2 linked regions of the Nothobranchius furzeri genome follow. The protein of the gene in region 2 interacts with the protein of the main gene of each other region in a pairwise test. Links are inferred from orthologs where the notes say so. Each region holds a gene or a part of one and is shown on either strand. Other genes may lie near its edges. The genes, in order: rpp25l and rho guanine nucleotide exchange factor 2.

Region 1 (4,609 bases), about 6.7 Mb from region 2:
CATCAGCGGCCATGAAAAGAAAAAGGGACATCTTGTCCTTTTTTACGGCTGTTAATAAAGAACAGTATAGGCAGAGAGAGGATGAAAGTCACAAGGGAGCTGAGAAGCAGGATGAAAGAGAGAAGGAGGAGTTGGTTGGAGAGGAACCAGAGAGGTCAGAGGCTGTCCACCCTGAGAGTGAGGAGGAGGAAGATGTAGGCTGTGAGGGAGAGAGTGAGGAGCAAAAAGAGGGACATCTTCTGTCATGTGCACTGTGTGCACTACCGTCAGGTTTGTGGGTGTTAAACAAACCCCTCTGTGTTTGCAGCTCATATTGTGTGTAAAATGCATTTGAGGCATGCTGACTCTGGACCAAAATTTCTGTTGTTTATATTTAATAAATAGATAAAATAAGACTCAGAGTTAACTAATTATGACTTTTATCCTCATGCTAACATTTATTTTCTTTCAGATATCAGCAAGTGCAAGGATGACCCACCTACTCAGCCTCATTTGAGAACATTTCCAGTGACATTAATAGGAGACAGAAGATGCAGCTTTCAGCCAAGCTGGTATGAAAGTCATCCAATTGGGTTGAATATTCTGTTACTATGGACTCTACTTATTGTCATGCATGCAGACATTTTAGCCCACCAAGTAGCGCAGGAAGTGTGTTTGACTCACCATGTGGATTTAGGAACTGGAAAAAAGCAACTGAGAGAGGAGGGGGGTTTTCAGTACACGCAAAGTCTGAAAGGCATAAGGATTCAATGATAGCGTGGAGGGACTACCAGAGGGCTGTGAAAGCTAATACAACATTGGCTAATATACTCGACAAGGAACTCAGTAAAAAGGTTAAAGAAAATCGTGAGTTTATCAAAACAATTGGTGAAGTGATTTTGCTTATGTGTGTGTGTGTGTGTGTGTGTGTGTGTGTGTGTGTGTGTGTGTGTGTGTGTGTGTGTGTGTGTGTGTGTGTGTGTGTGTGTGTGTGTGTTGACTACAAAAAGCAGATTGTATTGTGCAGATATTTTATTTGTTTGAATGTTTATTTTTCATATGTACAGTTCATATAATCTTCAAATAAAGTCACAAACTATAATAATTGACTAGAATTGTTTTTTACTCAAGTCTCATGTTGCGGTGAAGCATTCAGAATTGTTATCTGAGTACCATAAAAACATGCCAGTTTTACTTTCACAAGTAAGCCATTACTGCATTCGCCGTAATAGTTTACTTGTTCATTGTCTTTTAATATGATTTTTTTTCTTGTGCCCCCATGAAAAAATACTGGCCCCACAGTGGCCCCCCTGGAAAATTTGGTCTAGAACCGCCCCTGGTTTGGTGATGTGCAGGAACAGGTGGAAATTTTTGTCTCAATGGAACTTCAAAATAGAATAATTTTCAAAATAAAAATGAATTTGCATACATTCTTTACCAATTGATTTTTGCTTTTTGGATCGATGGCCATGATGGATGTGTCAAAGTAGATCAATGTATTGTTACATTGTGAGTACATTTTGAGGCATGCTGAAATTTACTGAAATGTCCCTGGAGCTTCCGTTTGTCACCTGACGTGTTAAGAGAGAAACAACAGCTGTGTTCAGTTTGCTTTGAAACATCACAATAAAAACTCTTAATTAATTATGAGTTCTGCAGTCTTATTTGCTTAGACAGTGTAACAAAATAGTCCTTGCTGTGATGGAGCATCTGGGCTTGTTTTCCATGGTTTTCATAGGAATTTTATTGTTTTTCTGAAACGTATGATTCGCGGTACTTTAAAAAACTACAAGTGTCTCGTGAGTTTACGACAGTTTTTGTGGTTTTACGGTAACGTAACCTGTTGTGGTAAACATGCGGACTCGGAGCAGTGTTCAGTAGTAAAAGGAAAGAAGTAAAGGTAAGAAGATAGTGTTTTCATGCTGCAGCGGACCACCTAAGGTTTTTATCTTGTGTTACCCCTTATGACCTGCGTTTGTCTTATTTATGACCATTTTAAAAACACTTGTTTACTGAACGGTTAGCTTTAGGTGAGTCCGGGTGAAGCAGCTTCCTGCGGTGAGGTTTATTATCATCTGAGGTGTTTTCAGGTCAGAGTTTGAACAGCCTTGTTGGCACATGTGGTTAGTTGGAGTGGTTGTTGTTTGAAGTTAGCTGTCTAGCTAGTGTGCTAAAGGCTAACACCGCATTGAACGCGAAGTTAAATTATATTGTGTATCATTTCTGCGTGTGATGATGTCATAAGCATGCCGAACACTTAAAAAGACGCAGAATTGTATTTTAAACCTTCGTTTAAAACCAAGTTCAGCGACGTCATCACATCTGGGTAAAAATGCTATTTTTGTGTGGAGTTTGGTTTGCGCTCAGAACTGAATTTTATATCTGTTTAAAAACTCAAAAGGTTGGAAATGTGTTTAATCATGACTAGGGTTGCCAACTCCCTGAAAAATAAATAAGGGACACCTCGCGGGCAGGGCGCTCCAGGCCACCCTTCCCAGCGTGGTGATTTTTTTGCTCTTTTTTTGTGTGTGGGTGTGAAAGGATTTTTTTTTTTTACTATTTGACTTGAAGTTGGTTTAAGAAGATGCATATTCTTTGTGATATGAAAACATGGGAAACAAATGATCATTTAGCCATTTATTTATGGCGTGAAATTACAAAATTATTATAAGTAACAAAGGTATTTTTCTTAAACAGAAAACTGTTATGCTCAACTTTTTGTGCAAAATGACAAAAAAAAGTAGGTCTCTTTCTTAAACGGTAGCCTGTTATGCTTTACTTTTTAGAATATAAATAGCTCTCTTTAAAACAACTCTGTTCTGCTTAACTTAAAATTGTATAAATTAATAGAAAACAACAGAAAGAGCAACGCTGTAACTGCACATTGAGTGCAATTAGAAAAGTGCAAACAGAAAGTCTGTGGAGAAGCTGTAAACATATTTGTGCCTCAAAGGCCTTGACTGTAGCCTATGGTTGAAGTAAAAAAAAAAAAGTCCAAACTCATGAACTCAAAAACTCAATGCTACATTATGTGAAAACAGACTATTTTCGCCATTTGTATTTCTTTTGAGATCTTGCTGCATTTAGGAGTTGTTTGTCTTTCAGTACTGCAGAGTAAAACTCTGAGCAAGACATGTCACAATTTAGAGTGACAATGAGCTCACATCTAATTATTTCAGTAGAACATTTGTTCCGCACATCAGTCCACTTATTCTTCATGAGAGAGAAAATCCTCTCTGCCAATCCAGTGGAAGATGGGATGCTGAGTACAAACGATACAACAGGCTGGATGTTGGAGAGGTCAGCTGCCTGAAGAATTTCTATACACTTCTCTGCTGTTCCCTTGGACTGCCACTTTTCCTTCTCCTGAGGTCCTTTGGTGAGGTGCTCCAGAAGGCTGGCTGCAGTGACACACTCGTCATAAAGCTCATCCATAGAGATGTTTAACCTGCCAATGGAGATAAGAAGTAAACCTGGGTTATAAGCACCACATAGAACACTTACAGTGGTAAATAAATGGAAAACATTTATTGTATATTTATTGCATTGTATAGCTTTTATACAATACAATAGTTCACTTTATTTATTATGTATTTATCCATCCTTTTAGTTTAAAATTATCCAAACAACATATAAACCAAGACAAGGCTACATCGAAACTAAACACCCAAGTTAAAAAAAAAAAATAGAAAAACTAATGACAAAACAGAAACAGACAACAAAAATAATAAAAATAATGGTAAACAAGCCCCAACACAGTGGGTTTTTTTTTCTTCATATAAATACCTTCACTTTAACCAGAGGGTTTAAAAAAGCAATGTTTACTTACCATATCTGCTTCTGCCATGGCCTTGTGGACGACAAATGGATCGAGGGTTCCCCGTAATTTCACGTCCTTTATGTTTTTCATGTGGCTACTACTAGACGCATGTTGCTTGAGGTCAGTGAGTCCACCATGCCCTTTGGAAAAACTGCGCCGGTACACGGTGCAGTGCGCTTTATAGGTGTTCTCGCGCAGTTTTTCCAGCCAGGAATTTTCCTTTTCCCATTCCTCCCTGTATTTTTGAAGCCTTTTTTCTTCTTTCTCGGAGGGGTACTGTCGTCCGAGACTTGTACAGCAGTGTCGGCGTTAGTTTCCCGGTTGGCCGTGCTGTTTGCTGTCGTCTGTTTTCTTCCGGTATCTTCTCCCCAAGCGACCGTTCCTCGACCAATGAAATAAGCGGTAATCTTATCGTCATATTCGTGTGTAAGCATGCGGTCAGTTCATTAGTCACAGAGCAGGCGAAGGGCTGGCTTTCAAACAAAGCGTTAATTCCGGTAATAGACTACAGACTAATTTTGATCCATACTATATTACGGGACAAAGTGCGTCCCTTTTGAGTTCAATACGGGACGTGCACTTTTGTTTCTAAATACGGGACGATTCCGTTTTTCAAGGGACGGTTGGCAACCCTAATCATGACTGATCAGCTGCTTTAAATGGGAAAACTTCAGTTGTCCCTAACATCCTGACTTATTACAACATATTTGTTAAAATAAAACAATTTCTTTTTATTCTGTTCAGTAGCAATCCCTTTCCTTCACAGCACTGTACAAGTTGTAATTATAAGTCTCAAAATATGTTCCGTAT
Region 2 (3,817 bases):
CCTTCTGCTGCTCCATGTCACCTCCTCTTTTCTCCTACTGTTCCCCATTACCTCATCTTCCTTCATTCTCCTGCTCCCTATCACCTCTTCCTCATGCTGCTCCGTCACCCCCTCCTCCTTCCTCCTCCTTCTCCCTGTCACCTCATCCTTACCCCTTTTGCTTACTGTCACCTCCTTTCTCCTGCGGCTCCCTGTCACCTCCTGTTTCCCCCTGCTGGCCACTTTCTCCTCTTTGTCTTTCCTTCTGCTGCTCCATGTCACCTCCGTCCTCCTGCTGCTGCTGCTGCTGCTCCCTGTCACCTCCTTCTAGCTTGAAAGGGCCTCCTTTGTCCAGCCATTCCTGGCCTACCTGGTCTTCTACGGCATGGACAACATGTTCCTGAAGGACGGATGCCATCGCTCCATGAAACAAACCTCAAACTGCAGATTAAAACTTTTTCTCACCCTGGAGGAGGAGTGGAAGCAGGAAAGTACAGAGTCTAAAAAACCCTAAACAGTAAATATTTCACTTTAAAACTGCGCGCGCGCACACACACACACACCTCGGAGTCGTCTCAGCAAAGCTTTGTCTTCCGTTTCGATGAGCGGAAACTCATCTCTGGACGGACAGCTGCAAGTAAAACACAAGAAACTCTGTTACTGTGAATACACTAAAGTACTGGAAAGTTTCTACTGGTACTGTAGTCTTCCTGTGAGTACCTTAAGGTCCTTCCTTTGAGGAATAAAGTTTCAGTTAGTACTGCAAAGTTCCAGTAATGTTCTGACCTGAGAGCAGCCTGCTGAATGCGGCTCATCCAGGTCTTGCGGTCGTCTTTGGATGAAGCGTACAGCTCATACATCTCTGGAGGACTAGAGTCACTACTGATCAGGTACATCCCTCGCTCCTGATTGGCTACTTCTCGGACAATCAGGTTATTTAAGGGGACTATTGGAGATTTGTCCTGAAAGACATAAGGGAGCAGACAGACCGGTGAGTAGAGAGGTGAAACTGTCCCATAGATCCTCGTGATCTTGCTTATCTCATCCTGGGTTGTGAGACAAGGAGGTCACAAGGAATGATCAGCTGTTCATGTAGGATAGATTTGGATAGTTGGACCAGGTTAGTCCTAGATAAGGTGACCAGGTGGGATGTTTTATGACTCACCAGTGATGCAAAGGTGAATTTTTGGTCTTTCTCCTGGAGAAAAACCAAGATGTCTGACATCAGTAACACCTGCACATCTGGAGATAAACATATAAAGACAATCAACAGGGAAAAGCTCCTCCCACACGTGTTACATAACAACATAAAAGAGCTAAGCCCTGGTTTATGGTCCTCCTACTCCTTTACCTTTCATTCTAGAACCCTGGACTTTCCAGAGGATTGTCCCATCATGAAGAAGCTTCCTCCTTAGCAGTTCCCCTCCTCTGAACACTCCTCCTCTCTGGACTTCAGCCTGGGCTCGAGGATCCAAACGAGCTTGGATCTCCTGCAGCCTTCTGGTGCGGTCTAACTCCAGAACCTCCTGGTCCACTGAGCTGATCAGCTCCTTAAGGAGGTGCAAGGCCTTCTTCAGTGCTTGTGCCTCTTCTTCGCATCCTGCAGGAGAATCGAAAAGATCGTAGACGTACATGAGGTTATCATTCAATCATCATGTAAAAACATGGTGTAAAAAGGGGCGTGAAATGTATGCAGTCTGTTCATGTGTGTGTGTGTGTGTGTGTGTGTGTGTGTGTGTGTGTGTGTGTGTGTGTGTGTGTGTGTGTGTGTGTGTGTGTGTGTGTGTGTGTGTGTGTGTGTGTGTGTGTGTGTGTGTGTGTGTGTGTGGACAAAGGAGCTGTTCAGCTACTCTGCTAGTGTGCTGCTGCTGTTGGGAGGATGTGGGAGGGCCTATGTAGCTGATTAGGGCCTGGATGCCCGTGAGGTAGGATATACGTAGGTTACAATAGGGACGAGCAACATCCTCAAGGATGTAGGAAGAAAGAACTTTCCCACCTAGACAGTTTGAGATGAATCATCTTCTGATTCTAGGATAACGGTAAGCAGTATGAGGTTACCTTTGGTGTTGTCGAGGATTCTCTGGATGAGAACGGGATACTTTGTGATCCGTTGTGTCACCAGAAGGATGCACTCTTGGACGCCATGTCGACGAAGCAGAGGACCACGACACACACGCTGAGAATCATAGAACACGCAACAAAACATTAAAATAGAATGACTTCAGATCAATTCTGAAACAATTCAAACCAGTTGAAACTAATTAAGGAGAAAAATAAGACCAAAGAGGATGGACTTCCGTTATTCTGACCAGTGATGAACCTGATGTGGAGCAGAAAGGACCAAACAACCTCCATCAACCCTACCCCAGTGCCTCACTCATATGAATATAAATCAAACCAGCTCACCCGAATGAACTGTTGCAGTCTTCGGTCTCGAGTTAAAACTTCTTTGTAGAGCTTCACAGCTTTCGGGTGTCGACTGCAGAACTCTGAGTAAAGTTTCTTCATGTCGTCTGCACTTTGACCTGAAAACTACAAAAACATAAAAATGTAAGACATTAGGATGTTCTATCTGCCACCGTACAACAGATTTACTCAACATTCATTTGTCTTTCAGGGGCAGATGTTGCAGATGTGACCAGTACGATGACCAGAATGAGAGCGTCCAGCAGGGGGAGCCATCTCCCATTAGCTCAACTCAACTCTTTGTTTCGTTCAGCTGATAACGACATTCCCTTTATTTAAACACCTGCATCTCTTAGACCAGCTGTCACATGTGCCGGCGTACCTGTCGGAGCAGCAGGTCTCCAAGCCTGCGGATGGTGAAGTTAGTGAAGCTGCCCTCCATCAGTCCGTCCTTCCGCCTGTTCATCAGTTCAGACAGGAAGTTGGAGTGAAGCTCCACCAGCTGTTCCAGGCAAGGGAAGATGGTGTGAACCACACCTGCCTCCAGCATCACCTCCTCCAGCATCCCTCGCCGGTACACCCCTTCCATGATCCGCAACGTCCGGACATGATGGAACTCAGTCTGGATCAACTCTGAGAAACAAGTAGAAACGAGTTGTTGTAAAGGCTAAATGGAATCTGATCAGCACCTGACCACTCTACCAACTGGCCCATATTACAGATATTCCTTTCTATTTCCTCTCACCGTAGATGACGTCCTGCTGTTTGATGACGTCTTTGTGCAGCGTCTGCAGGAAGCTGGGTTCCACAGCCAGACTCCAGCTGTCGGCCTGGACGCAGATTCCCTCTGTACGCAGTTCTTCCAGCAGGGGGCTCGTCCACCACTCTCCTGATTGCACGTCAACACAAATACAGATTAAACAGGTTGCTCCACCTTCTGAAAAGTCCCATCTTCAGGATTTATTTTTGGAATCTGAGCCCTTTGTGAGCTGGAAACCTGGCTGAAAGTCTCACCTACTGACCTTCTCCAGTCAGGTATTCTTGATCATCCAATGACTAATTCCAGGCAAATGTGTCAAAAACAAAGACATCCAAACAAACAGTCGCCAGGAGAAAATTACATCAAATCAAGGCCTCACTATATCGCCTGTGGGGTTCCTCTGGGGGTCAGTCCTCGGGCTGACTCTTTATCTTCTACACGCTTCACCCCAAGGATCCATCATCAGTAGGAATGGAATCACTTTCTACTGAATTTTAGCTCCTCAGACTCCACCTCCTCTGTAACACCCCAACCTAATTCCCACAACCCATAATGCTTTGTGTGACTTTCTGTCACTTAACCAGAAACATGTTTTTCTATGGAAACGGTCAATAAACCAAATCATAGGAACATCAGCTGATACTGTTCAGAGGAGAAACCATAATCAGCTGT

What was found.
Region 1: the proteins of rho guanine nucleotide exchange factor 2 (region 2) and rpp25l interact in binary tests that used the Homo sapiens proteins (3 or more experiments, as listed by UniProt). The two-hybrid records come from large-scale screens. The link is inferred for Nothobranchius furzeri from reciprocal best matches to the Homo sapiens genes ARHGEF2 and RPP25L.

What each region holds. Positions count from the first base shown.
Region 1 is NC_091745.1:59,630,777-59,635,385, reverse strand, and holds the start of rpp25l (ribonuclease P protein subunit p25-like protein), read left to right. Parts: upstream 1-1,776; 5' UTR 1,777-1,879; intron 1,880-1,896; exon of another isoform or gene 1,897-1,920; intron 1,921-4,609. UniProt on the Homo sapiens protein: May be a component of ribonuclease P or MRP.
Region 2 is NC_091745.1:66,292,051-66,295,867, reverse strand, and holds part of rho guanine nucleotide exchange factor 2, read right to left. Parts: intron 3,275-3,817; coding exon 3,131-3,274; intron 3,019-3,130; coding exon 2,768-3,018; intron 2,512-2,767; coding exon 2,386-2,511; intron 2,156-2,385; coding exon 2,038-2,155; intron 1,580-2,037; coding exon 1,331-1,579; intron 1,222-1,330; coding exon 1,145-1,221; intron 942-1,144; coding exon 766-941; intron 611-765; coding exon 543-610; intron 1-542. UniProt on the Homo sapiens protein: Activates Rho-GTPases by promoting the exchange of GDP for GTP.